Diceros bicornis minor: one gene and its partner. The protein of the gene in region 1 purifies or fractionates together with the protein of each later gene. This does not show direct contact. Links are inferred from orthologs where the notes say so. Each region holds a gene or a part of one and is shown on either strand. Other genes may lie near its edges.

Region 1 (8,278 bases):
AACATCTGTGCCAATCTTCCACTATTTTGTATGTGTGATGCTGCCACAGTATGGCTTGATGAGCAGTGTGTAGGTCCGCACCCGGGATCCGAACCTGCGAACCCCAGGCTGCCGAAGCAGAGCGCATGAACTTAACCACTACGCCAATGGGCGGTCCCCTAAGTGTTTTATTTTTAAAAGTCTCCTGCTGCAATCTGAAGGCAAGAATTAAGATATTTTAAAGTTGACCATTTTGTGACATTAAACAACCAAGAGCCCTTTAATGGACAGTAAAAGGGCAAAAAACAAAAAATGTTACCTAAAGAACAGATTGATGAGAAATCTCAGAGACTAATATACTTTGTAGTTTAAATTTAAAACATCTAGTGACTACAAAGAGGTGGATTTATTTTGCAATACAAATACAATGAAAATCTTAAAGGCAATACGAAAGAATTAGAAAACACACAAAAAAAAGCTAAATTGCAACTTCATACACTTGCATACACAAGACAATACTGAGAGGTTAAGGAGTGGAAAGATTATCCAAGATAAAATTTAGAATGTAATAAATAGTTAAATAAACTTTTAGGCAATAGTAAACGGTTCATACAACAGCTCTGTTATATACAAACACAACTATCACTCGGGTACTAGGTACCAAAGAAACCACGTCTTGAAAATCAGGGTCTCTTTACATTCCTTAAAAGGCCTCAGCCAAGACAGAAGCAAAAAGGCACAACGTCAGTGAATTAACATAAAAAGCAAAGTGAACAAATCCTAACAGGAGGATGAAAGGAAGACCACCAACTTTGTGAAGAAAAGGATACAAAACTAATTAAAGAGGAGATATACAAAGTTAAACTGAGTAAGATATGAAATGATAGTCTATCAATGAATCAAATGCTAAAGGTAAAATGGTAAAGACTAGGTTAGTCACAGTAGTGTAGGGTAGGTCATGCAAGACCTGTAGATCAGGGACTTGCTCAAAGGCAAGTCCAGCAGCTGAGGGACTTCTAGGGGTGAGGGTTGAGAGCCCAGAAACATATTTGTCTTCTGTTCACCCCCCAGGTATTAGGCTCAATGTAAGCTTAGAAGATAGCTTAACTCTTACAGGGCTGTGGACAAACAGTAACTTGAAAGCATTTAACACTCATGCGAATGCTCTGAAAATGTTACAGTCTTTCCACAGATGAGAATATCAAATCTCATTCTTTCAGTAAGCAAGCACATTTCTTGGCACCCAGAAATTAATCTTAAATGGTACTTTTGCTTAGAAAAACGTGTACACGGTTTCTTTCAAAAAATGATCCCCTCACCATCCTACATTACCTGTCAGAAACTCGACCCTTCTTCACATAAAACATCAAATTTTTCCTGTTTCAACTGAAGCTCTGCAGTAGTGGTTACTACAATGCCAAGATTCTTCCACTCCATCACCCAGTTATGCTGCAGATAAGGCTGTCCCAGGAAATACAAGATGTGTGTTTCCTGGTGATTCCCAACCAGCTCAGCAGATTTCTATATATTTCTATCATATTCTATCCATGTCTAAATGGATTTTGTCAATTTGGGAACTGAGAAAATCAAAAGGCCAGATGCACAAGACAGATCAAACCTGGGGAAAGTGTGAACTGTGCAAGTACACATACATTGCTCCATCAAATCCCTTATCCTAGTGCATTACTCCTTTGCTTCATCAGTTTTAAACCTTCCCCCAAGCCTGTCTCTTCACACACATACCTACTCTCTCTTTGGCCAATGCCCTTCATCTTGCCTTGCAGACCCACTGGCATGCCACTCTTGCAACCCAGGTCTTCTTAGATGGACAATGTTGTTTTCCTTATCATAACTCTTCTTTTAAGGGGTGGGATAATTCCAAAATACTTGCAATGAGAAGCTTCCCACCTTCTGGCCCTAAGAGGCTGACCACAATTTGTTCTGAAACCTAAACCTATTTGGCGACCAATACAAAACAAATTCCTAAGTAGAAGACAGTATCTAATTAACTAACAGAGGACATTAGTATTCAAATCACAAACTCACTTTCTAGTATCTAAAGTGCCCCACACAGACAGGACCTCAGCTGATGCTAAAGATAACCCAGTCAGAGAATCCCTGACTGAAATGACAGGCTCAGAACAACATGAAGAGCAAATAATCTTTGGACGCTGGTGTGATGGCAGGATGCAGTAGACACCGATAATGCAGCTCCTCTGGCTTGTGTTTGGGGCGTTCCACCATGTCTACTCTTTAAAAAGAAAAAGACATCGAGTTCTAAGTCTTTGACTTCTGGCTCACTATGCTCAGTCATTGAAAAGAGATTGGTCCACTAAACAGCTACACTCCTCTACACCTCCACTAAACACGTCTTTGAAACCCTTAATCACTTCAGGACTGCCCCTTAAAAGGTAGGAGCTGCTGCATTTGTCCAGCAGCTGCAATAGCAGGGAAATTTCCTGCGACACTAGGGACAGGTAAATAAAGAAATTGCATTCGCTCCTAGGCAGGGGGAGGGGTCTTCTCCCAGGGAAGAGTTTACATAATGCAACAGAAAACCAGTGAGCTCTGCAGACCTGTCAATGCAGGTGCAAAGCTTGAGCTCCTCTCTTCCCACCATCTCTAAACACTCGCCAATACCCTGCTCTTCTCTCCCAAAGACCCACAGAAATTACACCTAAGAAGGTATATTAATCTGCACACGCGCATCCCAAGCGTTCCTACCCACCTTTATTATTAGAATACAAAAACTAAGCAAAAATGAAAAAGAAAAAAGAAAACCCCCCTAACCTCCCACTTCTGAGTCCAAGTATGGAGTAACCAAACGGAGCCGGGGAGTTTTCCCTCCTCTGAAGGCGCAAGGAGAACCAGAAGCTGCCTCAAATCTACACCACGCCCGGTAGGCAATGACAAGCCCTAAAAACTCCACAGCGGCCGGCGCAGCCCCCCGTGCGGCCCGTCCGGGCTCGGGCCCTGTGGCCCGGCAGCCGCCCTCTCCCCCGGCCTCTCACAAAGGAGAATGGTTCAGTCCAGAGCATCACCCAGCACCTGATCCCTCACAACCGGGGGACGGGCAGGGGGCGGGGGAGCGAGGAGGAGGATGAGTTATTGAAACCAATTCTAAGAGCTTTAGCTTTTGCAAGCACTCTTGGACCAGCACTGAGCAGCGGGTGTGAGCGGGAATCCTACCTGAATAAGTCCTGGGGCTTCCTTTCCAGCCAGCGAGCGTTTCAACTCACCCTTTCGGAGAACAAGGCGCCTTCCGGCGGAGCATGGCCAGCCCTCCTCTCAACCTGGCTTGCTAGTAGTCCATTCTCCTTCGGCTCCGCCCACCTACGCTCCGACCCACCAATGGCAGGGCCGATGCCCGGCCTCTTCCAGCAGGGTAGTGTGAGTGTCATTCAGGAAGTCTCTTGTGGGTGGGAGGTCCTAAAAGGCTGAGAAGGGTACGTAGGCAACCACAGATAATGCCTGATTGAAAATAAAATCTGGCGGCAGCTCGCTTCTGATGGCCCAGTTTACAGGCGTTCAGGCCTCACAGCATATTTTTTGACCCCCGCCGTTGGGGGCGCTCTAAACTAAAACAACATTTAGGTACCTGTTTCTGGGAAGCCATCTTGGACCCGGCTGGTGCGTGACTTGGGGACTGGGAGGAGGAAGGAGTGCTTAAAGAATTTGAAGCCCTTTTCGGCGTTCTGTAGGACTTCTTAGCTCCAGCCCTAACATACTCTCGTTTATATAATCAGAATGTCCCTCAGTCGCCATGGGGAGAAACTGGAATAATGTTGAATATAGCTAGAGGCAACCACCCCCCCCCCCTCATAGGAGTGAAGCGATCTTACCAAATCAAAGAAGCAAAAATGAATTCTTGGAACGAGAGTGAGTTTTCCCAGTTCCTGGGATAATCCTTTATAGACACCTCACTCCTCAGGATATCAGCACATGACCAACATAAGGTTATGTATCTATTGTAGATGTTTCTAATCCATATGCTTCATTTGCAAGTTTTCCAGTGTTCTGACTGACGGTACAGAGGGCTGTGAGTCAATGGGAAATGAATAGGATTAAGGGAAGAATTTCAGTTTTTTTCAAAAAGGCCTAAATTCATCAATAGACTCAAACTACGTGTGAATATAGGTAAATGATAGAGGAGAAATTATATGTAAGGAGGAGGGCCCTTAGGGGACAACCTTGGAAACATTGGCTGCAGAGACTAATTTTCTAATAACTGCATTTAAATTGGAAAGGAAATAATTTTATCGTATGTGAAATTCTCTTGCACTCAATGAGAAAGATTTTTCAGGTGTTTCCTAGTCTAAATCTCTACTGCTATTACAACTTGCTACAAGAAGGTTTTGGTTTTCTGGTGAGGAAGAGTGGCCCTGAGCTAACAGCTGTTGCCAATCTTCCTCTTTTTGCTTGAGGAAGATTGTCCCTGAGCTAACATCTGTGCCAATCTTCCTCTATTTTTTACATGGGATGCCGCCACAGGGTGGCTTGATGAGCATTGTGTAGGTCAGTGCCTGGGATCCGAACCCACGAACCCCAGGCCGCAGAAGCAGAGGGTGTGGCCTTAATCACTACGCCACCTAGCAAGCCCCAAAGTTTTTGATTTTTTAACTCGTGAGTGAAGGGAGTCCTCCCAATTAAAGGAATTTCTCAAGGAATAACATATTTGCATTGTCATACGTGGTGGGAGCCCAGAGACCTTAAGGAGTCATGTGAGTTAATATTTTATCAGGGCAGTCATAAGCCTTGGCCAAATATATTTCCCTGTATATTGAACAAAATCTGTTGGCCAAATTCTCCCCTGTCTACTGGCTACTGCTGTCATTATATCAAATTTGAGGTTAGGATTAGGATTTACCAGAACAATGTGTTTGTCTGTAAATGCATGTACAGATATGATCTTAATTATTAATACTTTCTAGAATGAGAACCTATTATCCTTCTGCTTATTTGGTACAAAATAAACCTGATATCAAAGGAACCAGTTACAGGCATTATAGAAAGGGGAAAGAGTGTGCCTTGTCTAATAATTTCTGCTACCTGCAATGATCTATAATCATTTAGTATGACTTAGACTGCTGTCAATAGTATGATTTCCAATGGTTCTGGCCTTCAAAAACCAATCAACACCCTTAATCATCTCATAACTACCATTCTTTACATGGCGGTGGGAGATCCACTTTCTATGGTAATTCTTCATGACCATTTCACTCAGAACATCAGCAATGATCAACAGTTCACAAATTTGCCCAGATACTTGTGTTTCTTGTGCTTCCCTTACAATTGGTGAAATACCCAAGTACAGAAGGTTATGAGTGGTTTGGATACTAAAACTGGATGTGGGATTTAGGATTAAAAAGATATGCTCCAGAATATCAAAATGGTATCCATTAATGTCTCTCAAAGCAGGAGCTCTAGGCAGAATGCTGTCTTTGACCAATGCTCTAATGCCTCCCAGTCACTAAAGATCGTTTTGGTTGGTAAAGAAAATCTCCTGTACAGAAAATATAAAGTTATATTTACTTTAGTTTTGTCCCTGGAGTAAGGGAGCAGGCTAACCCCAGATTCAACAGCCTCAAATCCTTTTTGGAATGAGGTCGGATTTTAAAAAACAAAACAAAAGCATAATCAAAGCAATACCCCAAATGTCTTTCAACTTCCTGTGGTGCAGTGTTAACTATTACTACTACTACTGGGGGCAGAATCCAGTATAAAATAAATGTCTCAAGAAGGCTGCTTCCATTACCTTTGATACAATTTCCTAGAAGGACAGTATCTACTTACGTTTGGGATACAATTAGAAATGACACATGAAATATGAGCAGCTTGGATACATGCATATATTTAATAATGAAACAATTCATCAACAACAAAAAAAATTAGAAAAATTCATGAGACCTCAGTGCTGTGGAAGAGAATAGGACATCAAGGCAAAAAGATATAGCAACTGACTGAGAAGGCTGCATGATGAGTAAAGCAAAGGCAAATTTGGCTAGGATAGTATTATAAGCTCTTGAAAAGGAAAATGGCTAGACAAGTACCTACTTTTTTGACTGCTTGGAAGCAGGCAGCCTTACTGTATGGTGCATGGAATGGAGGCAAAGAGCCAGGGAAGGGAAAGAAGAGCAGGAGAAGAGCAATTAAGAATCCAAGGTAAGCAGATGAAAGAGATGGAGGTTACAAAGAGAAGACTCTAAGGCCTTGTGTTTCCTCTGCAGTCTAAAATAAACCTGTTCTAAGTCTTTAAGTACGTCAGTCAAATTCAGTGAACACATAATGAGTAGCACTAGGCACTGTAAAGGAATGGTGGAGGAAGTAGTTTACAGAAGCTAAAGGATAACATGGTTCCTGCTCTCAAGGAGCTTACAACCTATATGGGGAGACAGAAGTCCACAGAACAACTACAAAACATATTTACAAAGTAATATAAATACAAATAAATATACATATGAATAAACAACATATGAAAGCTAAGGAGTACTGGGTCAATAATTGTTTAGATGTCCCTAGGTCAGTCAAAGACGGCTTTCTGAAGGAAAAAATTTCGGACTTTCTGAGTATTGTTAGCAGAGAGTGGGGCATGTGCAAAGGCATAGAAGTGGAAGTAAATATGTCATGTCCAGTAAGCAGATTAGCTTGATTAGAGTAGAAAGTCTAAATAGGTCTAGTTAAGAAGTGAGTGTGATGAAACAGTAGGGGTCTTTTTGGTGAAAGATACTGCAATGTTAGGTCTGGTCCCTAGAACAAAACGAACAGGGAAGGAATGTTTTCTTTAGGTAATGATGATAAGTGGCCACAGGTCCAGGAGCAATTCCACTGCTCTCAAAAGTTTTGTAGTTACTCTAAGACAGAGAAACTAGCAATGGGATGGTAAAGAAGTATTCAGCATCCTTGAGCAGTTCAAGTAGGAGGAACTGCCTTCTGCAAGAACCCTTAAGAAGTGGCAAGTGAAAAACCTCAATGAAATTCCTAGGCAGAGGATCTATCATCCAAAGGCCAGCCAGATCCCAGGAATCTCAAGTGCTCAAGCAGAATGTCCTAGACCCTTGTTACTAATTCTTGGTGGGGAGCAGATTGTGTATGCTTATAAAAGGATTTATTTATTTTGAAGTACCATGACAATCAACTTTGATTCTAACACTTTAGAAATTAAAATAGGAGGATGAGAAGAGCCCTAATCTATAGGGAATGCTCACGTCCCTGAAGAAGGACAGGTCAGTAAGGGCCCAAATTCTCCCCTGGTCTTTAAGTGGAAAGGCAAAACATCACACCTTGAAAAGAGGCTTTCTCAGCCAAAGCAAGTAAGACCTCTTTCTTTAAGCCTATTGATCTGAAGCTGTTCCGGGAAGGAAAAACAGAGTCCAGGCCAGATGTTCAGCAGCAGCCAGAGTTGGACCCTACGTCACGAGAGTTCCGCTGGGAGGCGCTGGGTCCCACTGATGTTGAAATACACTGTTGGGGACCAATCTTGATGCCGTTTGCCTGTAAAAGAAAAGAGGCAATAGTTCCCACCTCAGCGCTAAAATAAATGGGAGAAAGGAGCAGGATAAAAGGAGAAATCATTAATTCTATTTTCTAAAAGCAAATACGACCTTGGCAGGTAACCATGGGCCCTAGCCAGACTGTTGTGGAACAATAATCTGTGACAGTAAGGATGAAATGACCAGCTGTGGTATAAGTATTACAGATGCATAGAAGTGTATTTTGTACCCATTTTTAAGGTGACTGTTAATACTTAAGTTTCACAGCTATGTAGAGTAGAAGTAGCTTATTAGCATATAATTCTTTTTTGTTTTGCCCCAGAATTTGCTTTATAGAAATGGCCCTGCTGAGCACTTAAGAATTACACCTCCCCCATGCCCTGCAATAGTAAAAATTGAGGTTGAGAAGAAAACCTCCCATACTGTATATGCGTTTTAGATCACCAACTAATTTCTTTAAGCATTCTAGGTCTCAGACTTGAGAGAAAAACAGAAAATGATGACGGGTTCCTGTGTACCTACATAAAAAAACCAAGTATGAATTGGCATAGCTTCAAATAGTACAATGTTAGGGAATAATTATATTCTAGGGAGCTTCCTGTCCTGTTTAAGACAAAGCAAAGTTAATTGTCAGCCCCTCACCCTTTCTCACCTCATTGTGGACATCAAATAAACCCTGCTGGATCTTCCTATATATTTCTTTGGCTGTGTTAATGAAGGCCTAAAGGAGAAAAAAAATCATATTATTAGCCTCAAGTTTACCTAGAGAAATGAAAAAAAGAGAATACAAATAATATTCCTATTTGGAT
Region 2 (7,264 bases), on another chromosome or scaffold:
GTTGGCTATCATTATAGCTTTCCCATCTCTCTGTCTTTTTTTGAGGCTCTCACACTTTGGTGATACGTGGGTTAAAATATAAGCTGGCAAAAAATAATAAAACCAGGCAAATCTCTTTGAAATGAGGAAGGCTTTTCCAGAAGTCCCCTAGGCTTTTCTCCACATCTAATTAGCCAGAACTGCGTCACATGCCCATGCCTAAAGCAATCACTGCCTAGGGAGATAGAATTACAATGACTGGTTTAGAGTTTATATTAATCAAGACCCACCCTCTGAGGCTGGGGAGGGGATGCCAGATTCCTGGGAAGCAACACGGCAGAAATGGTGATAAAACAACCAGCATCTGCCAAGACTTAGTCTTGAGAGGCTGTGGTCTCTGATAGGAAGGGTCAGAATAAGTAACTTCCAGAGCTGCATGAAGCCTACAGGGCTCCTAATGGCAGTGAAATCACTACAAAGGTCTCTTAAGGCTAGTGAGAAATAGTATAGGATATAGGCCAGAGCTCAAGGAGAGTATACCTGAGAGGCAGTGAAATACAGCAGGTTCTAGATTCATGGAAATGTGACGCAGGCCCTGTTAGTGTCCCCAGCACTCAAAGGGCTTAGATCACCAGCCTTGGACTAGTCACCTAATCTTCTGAAAGCCTCAGTTTACTCATTTATAAATGAGGATAACCCAAACTATCTCAGATTTGACGTCAGGATTAAATGTATCCTTACACTAGTTTCACTCCCATGGTATAAGAATCAGCCAAAAACAAAAAACTCCAAACACACACCAATAGCTGGATGTTCAAAAAGACAAAGTGGCACAGGTGAGAGGTACCTGAAATGGAGTTGGAGAGAAAAGGAGAGGCTGCCTGACTCTAGACTAAAAATCTCCTTCGGGCCTCTGGTCAGATTTTGCTGCTCCAGTGAAGAACTTTCATTTCCAAGTCTACTAAAAAAGGACTAACTTTACTTCACACCTTATGTCTTGTAAGAGGTTTACGGGCAGCAAAATGGGTAAGAATCTCACTTCTGGCTTTGCTGATTACTAGCTGTGTTATCTTCTCTCAGGTAGTTCCCCAGTCTATAAAAATTGAGTAAACCACTACCAAATTTATTTCACTGAGCTTAATAAACTAAACATTAGCCACTTCCCTTTGAGACACCAGGGTTTCTGAAATTGAAGGCCAACACAAAAATCTATAACATAAAAACCCCTAAAATTTTTCATTGATACATAAAGCTGCAGTTATAAAGACAGGCCTATCAGTCTTAATGGAGGATTCTGGAAACCAGAGTGCTTAAGGGAAAGGAACTAACATTGAGGGTGGAAAGGAATCTGTTCTGATATTTATAGAGCCCTTACTAGACTCCAAACGCTTGTGTTATGTTATTTAGTTCTCAAACACCTTGATAACACTGCCCCCTCCCCTCTTTCTAGAGATGAGGAAAGGAAGGCTCAGAAAGGAAGGAACATAACATTTATTGTGGACTGTGCTAGATGCTTTCCTTATGCATTACTGCATTTGACATTTAAGTGACTTCTCTGGATGAGAGCTAGGAAGTGGCAGGCAGGATTAAAATACCAGATCTGATTCTGAAGTCACTGCATTGCAGCTCAAGGGAATAATTTTTCTTTCCTCAGAATCAGGAATCTTACAAAACTCAATCCTAGAATCTCATTTAGCCGCCCCCCCCCCCCCGCCCCACGCAGTAGCTGGGGTTAGCAATTCACTTTGGAGTTTTTTCAGTTTCCTTCAGACTAAAGATTTCAAAGTCGGCCCACCAGCAAAAAAAACAACACAGCAAACCACCTTTACAACTTTCCCTAGGGTTAAAAGCTTTCTTCCCCCCTCTTCCACCCCAACCACCAGGGGGCCAGGCCATAAAGAACAGCAGCTATAAACTAGGGTTCTGGAGTGATCACTCTGGTTTAGCCACTGTGTGACCTTGGGTAAGTTACTTTGCCTCTCTAAGGCTCAGTTTTCCCATCTGTAAAATAGGGGTAACAGTAGTATGTATCTCATTAGGCTGTGCACTTTAAGTGAAACGTGACATGTAAAGCAGTCAGAACAATGCCTGCACATAGGAAGAGCTTAGCAAATTTAATAGTTTTTATTGCTGGAGAGGAAATACCACTGACAGTTCTGTCCCTAAGTCCAAAAACTTGGCCATCGTATTCTAAGCACAGGCCTTGCCAGCTGGAGTCCCTTCAGAACGAGCAACAGGTCGCTCCTTTTCTCCTAACCAGGGCCGGGCGCAGAAACCGAAGTCCCCGACCTATATATGGCCACGAAGTCTCGGCCTTTGGTTTTCTACCACTACGAAGGCTGTCCACTCTGAGACCAACCGAACCACCCCATTTCCGCCTCGGCTCGGGAACTTCTCCCGGCCTTGAACGGCCCAGGCTGCCTTTGGCATGGCTGCCCCTGGTTACGGGCCTGGAGTTGGCTCGCCTGGCGTCTCCTCAACGGAGGACTCAACCCGCGACGTAGGCAACATTTCCCTGAGTTCAGGGGAGTCACCGAATCCAGTCAAGATGCGCGTCGGTCAAACACACGCCTGGAGAGAGCTCCCTTAGCACCGGCTGGGCCTGCCGCCGGGAGCCCGTCCCCCAGCCCCAGTCTCGGCGCAGGCCGGAGGGTCGGCACCTTTCTAGCCTCCGGGAACGCGTAGGCTCCGGCCTAGAGCCACCACGTGGGGGCTCCAGGCTTGACAAGGTGTCCCCAGAACCAGCCCCCGAAGACTGATCTCCGCATGGGCCCTAGCCCGGCCCCAAACTGGCCTGAGCGGCACTCCCGGCCTGGCTTCTCCCCTCAAACCTACTTGAAAGGGCCTCGGATATCCTCTGCAGACCGGAGACAGGCTCTCGCCAGACCCCTAACCCCGAGACTGCCTCAGCTCGAGTCCCCAATCGCCTGGTTTCCTTACTCACCCATCGCGGCTCCGCTCGCTCCTACTTGGCGGCGGCGGCGGCGGCGGCGACGGGAGCGGCGAGCTTCAGCTGCAGCTTCAGCAGACAATATGGCGGATCTGCAGGACGGCAGCCCGAAACGGACAAACAACTCAATATTCAGTCCAGCGAAGAAACGCGCTTTCAGCCCTGCAGCCTAGTTCACACCAAGGCGCACACTTAAAGAGACCGCAGCTATTAAAGGCGGGGAATAGGGGCGGAATATGAAAGGAGTGGGCGGAGAGAGACTGGGAGGGATGCCTACTAAAGAAAGTTCAGCGTGCCTGGGAGTTCCCAGGTTTTTCTGCTACTATTTCCTCTTTATAGTGAGATTTCCTCCCCTAGAAACTTTTTCTCCCAGAAAGATATTCCTTCCTTTCGTAATTAAAGCCAATCATAGACCCTTGAGCTGGATATGAAAAAGGAATCATCTGGAGAGGGGAAGTGACTTGCTCAAGGATATAGAGGTAGGGAAATGAAGTCAAGAGTAAACCCGATTACAACCCTATTGGGAGATAAGAAGTAGAAAAAGAATGAGACAGGTGCAGTGCTTTATAGTCAACAGAGCTATTTCATTTGTCCTTACAGTAAGCTCTCTGAAGGCAAGGGTGGGTCCTGTGTTGTTCATCACTGTATCTCCAGCACCTAGCACAGTATCTGGCACATGGTATGTGCTCCATAAATAATTGTTGAATGAATAAACAAATGAACAGCCTGTAAGTTACACAAAGCAAGGGATATGATCTCCCTTTTTAGAGATGAGGAAATTGAGGCTCTGAGTGTTCATGTGCCTTTTGAATCATGGAATTTATGGCTGGTACATAGTAGGCCTCCCTTTTTGCATAGTGACATGCCCGTCCTCCTGTCCTCCACCTCAACACACAGAGGAAGCCTATGTCTTCAAGTCACTGGTCCCAGAGGGAGATGCCTTTTGGAAGCAGAAAGAGCAATGTGGGCTTCCAGGTCCTGTCACAACAAATTGCCAACTCTAGTTGTGTGCCTGGTGGGCTCATTTAGGGAAACAACTCAAAAACCCCACTCTAGAACTCATGGTCAGGAAAGGGAGCACTACCTTTCTCTTCCTGTCACTGACTAGTGCCCCAAGGAACTCAAGGGTGGGTTTGGAAGCATTTAACTGTTTTTCCAAGTTGTGTTTTTATGTTAAGGAGACAAAACCAGCAACCACTCTGAAGCAACCAAGCCTCTTTACAAGAGCTATGCCCATGACCTTGCCTGATTTTTAATGCGATCTCTGCAAGCGGAGATTAAGCCTCATTACCATAATCTGCAGTGCATAACCCACCTCTCCCTTTTGAATATTCATTCCCCAACCGAAATAAAAGTTCCTGCTTCCCTTTGTTCGGGGACACCACAACTTGGGAAATGATTCCTCATGGCCTAGTATTTGTTGCAAATACACTTTACTTTGTGAGACAACTTCCACTGGTGTAGAGTCTTATTTAACTCACCAGGAGGCGAGCCCACTTGGTTTGGTATCATTCCTACTGCCACTGCTCAAGGTCAGACCTCTTCTTTCTCTCCTGGTCTATTTTGCCTGCCTCCTCACTGGTCTCCTGCCTCCAAGCTCTCCCACCCGCACCCACTATCTCCTTAAAATCAGAGACCTTTTCATGTCACTCCTTTGCTCAGCAACTTCCTACTATCTGCCCTTAGGTAATGCACAAACATTTCAATCTGACACACGGGCTGGTCCTTACTGGCTTCTTAGGCTGCTCCCCACCAGGCAACCCAGGCTCCATCCATATTTGGGGAACCACTTTTCCCCAAATATGTCCCTATCTTCTCTTGTGCCTTTGCACATGCTGTTCCCTCTGCTTGAAATGCAATGCCCTCTCTTTCCTCTTGACCATGGTGTGACCTACTCACTTTCAAGACTCAACTCTCACCTCCTTGAAAAAGCCTGTCTTTCCAGAGTCAGGGTGTCTGTCCTCTCTGCTCCTCAGTGCCCTGGACACATGTTTTCCTCAGCACTTAGCACCCTAATTTGCTCATGACAATGTCTCTCTCTGCTGGTTGTCTATGGAAGGGATAGAATCTTCCTCATCTTTGTATCTGTGCCAGCACCTGGCACAATGCCTTCCTCAACAGAGGCATCAAAAACGCTGGTTGCAGTGTCTGTCTCTAATACACCACCGTGGACTTATCTGCATATCCTGTGGCCAATAGGGCTCGGGGAACACGGGCAGACTAGACAAGTGGCTATGACTGTCTGTGTCTCCTCTTCTCTTACTCCTGAGCTCTCCATCCTATGCCCCCTAAGAGCCAGGTGGCCCTCCAAGCAGCTTTGTATTTCCACTCTAGCACTTGGCCTTGCTCACTCACTCTCCCTAGCCTAGAGCCATTGGTCCTCCCTGATCCAGTCCCTGCAGACCTTTCTAGCTCCAACCCACCCCCACCTCACTTTCCTTATCCTTTCTGCTCTAGGAACCACATTCTGCTTCCCTTCCCCCAATACATTACGATGTTCCAAATCTCTGTGCTATTACTCGTACGCTTTTCTCTGCTTAAGTGTAGACTCTGCCAAGTCTCCCTCTTGTCCACCTGGGAAGTGGCTGATACAACTCAGACTACCCCTCCTCCAGGAAGTCCACAGAGCATTAACCATTCCCTCCCCTGTAACTGTTACACCCATCCCAGTGTAGTATGACTTGTTTCTGTGTCTTGGCATCCTCACCATGTACCACAGCACCTAGCAGAGAGCAGGGTCTCAGTGACTGCATGCTGAGAGAATCAGGACATCACATTCTGCTAGGTTAATATGTCACCTTTCAGAAGGTTTTGGGGCCCAGCTCTACCTCCTAGCTGTGTTACCTTGGGCAAGTCATTACAGCTCTCTGAGCTCGTTCTTCATCTTTAAGAGAAGTGACAGCACCTACCTCCTAGGATTATCATGAAAGTTGGATTAAGACAAGGCCTATAATACACATAGAGCAGCACGGTACACAGTGAGCACTCAGCTAGCAGCAGCTGTCACTGCTACCATGACCTCTGGTGCCTACTCATCTCCTTTCCACTGGAGAAGGCAGAGCCCACAGGGGCCCCAGGAGCCACAGCGGGGCTTCCCCACCCAGAATCCCACACATCTGCTTTCTGCCTGACAGGCAAGAAGGGAAAGAAATACAGGACACAGGCTTATTGGGAGTATAAAAATAGGACTTTTGTTTTCCTCATAATCACATCAATTATCAAAGAAAGAAACAGTATGTAACAAAAATACAAAGCTCTGGTGGATTTTTTTGTCTTTTTTTGTTTTTGCCCCTCACCCATCCCTCCCCAACAGCCCCTTCCCAGGGAGCCCCTGGCTGAAGCCTGGATGCTGTCCCTGGGGTTGCCCTGGGGCTCAGGAGAACCGGTGGTCCAGGTCCCTCTGGGGGCTGGCCGAGTACGAGTAGGCCTTGCCCAATACCAGGCGGTCCCGCAGCAGCTTGAAGAAGGCATAGTAGTTGCTGAAGAGGATGAGCGCCAGTGAGATGGTCTGGTGCCACTTTTCAGAGGACATTAAGGAGTACAGCTGGTAGACAATGACGGCACCCTCCAGCAGCAGAAGGATGTTGAGGATCCGCAAGGGTTTGCTGAAAAAGAACTGCCCAGGAAAGAGTAGGCATGGACTGGAAAGTATATTCCAGAAACCTGCTTCTTGGATGGGAGTTCTGGGTGGGCCAGTGAAGAGGACAAGCTCTTGGGACCCCATGCAGACTTGGGTGGGGAAGAAGACTTCATAGTGATAGGCGCAGACTTTGCCACCTCTCTGCCTTTGCTTGTGCTGTTCCTTCTGTCAAGACTACTGCTTCCCATATAAATTGTTTAAGATCCTCTTCAACTTCTACCTCCTCCAGGAAGATTTTCTTGAGAGGTCTTACTCACTCTTTCATACTTTTTCTGGTCTAAAATCAACACCTTTTTACATGTGATCCTCCTGGGTACTGTCAGGCCTGAACAAATTAGAATCTTATGACATAGGCATGGAAAGTTATTATAGACTCTACAGCATGAGTCACCCACTACTTCATGTGTAGCATCCCCAGCTAGGCCAGAAGCTTCCAGGGGACATAGTGATACCTCACTCTTACTTGGTGTTTACAGGGCAAGGCAGAGTATAGGGACTCAAGAAAAATTTTCTGATCAGTTCAAAAGAGTAATCAACGTCTAGGGGATCTTGATTCTGCAGAGGTCAAGGTACCTAAACGTCAAAAGCTGCTTACAGAATGGGAGGAGAAGTGGCAGGAAATGGGAGTCCAAGAGACCAGTGTGCCAGGCTCAGCTCTACACCTGACAGGCTACAGGACCTTGGGCAAGTCCCTT

What was found.
Region 2: the proteins of CHD8 (region 1) and KPNA6 purify together in Homo sapiens (affinity purification with mass spectrometry; 4 studies listed by BioGRID and IntAct, with this or other methods). This does not show direct contact. The link is inferred for Diceros bicornis minor from reciprocal best matches to the Homo sapiens genes CHD8 and KPNA6.

The regions. Positions count from the first base shown.
Region 1 is NC_080744.1:27,896,179-27,904,456, reverse strand, and holds the start of CHD8 (chromodomain-helicase-DNA-binding protein 8), read right to left. Parts: upstream 3,241-8,278; 5' UTR 3,169-3,240; intron 2,013-3,168; exon of another isoform or gene 1,727-2,012; intron 1-1,726. Other genes in the region: RAB2B (ras-related protein Rab-2B), read right to left, coding at 7,363-7,470, 8,122-8,190. UniProt on the Homo sapiens protein: ATP-dependent chromatin-remodeling factor, it slides nucleosomes along DNA; nucleosome sliding requires ATP. Acts as a transcription repressor by remodeling chromatin structure and recruiting histone H1 to target genes.
Region 2 is NC_080752.1:46,919,074-46,926,337, reverse strand, and holds the start of KPNA6 (importin subunit alpha-7), read right to left. Parts: upstream 3,068-7,264; 5' UTR 2,928-3,067; coding exon 2,924-2,927; intron 2,884-2,923; exon of another isoform or gene 2,815-2,883; intron 1-2,814. Other genes in the region: TMEM39B (transmembrane protein 39B), read right to left, coding at 6,303-6,545. UniProt on the Homo sapiens protein: Functions in nuclear protein import as an adapter protein for nuclear receptor KPNB1. Binds specifically and directly to substrates containing either a simple or bipartite NLS motif.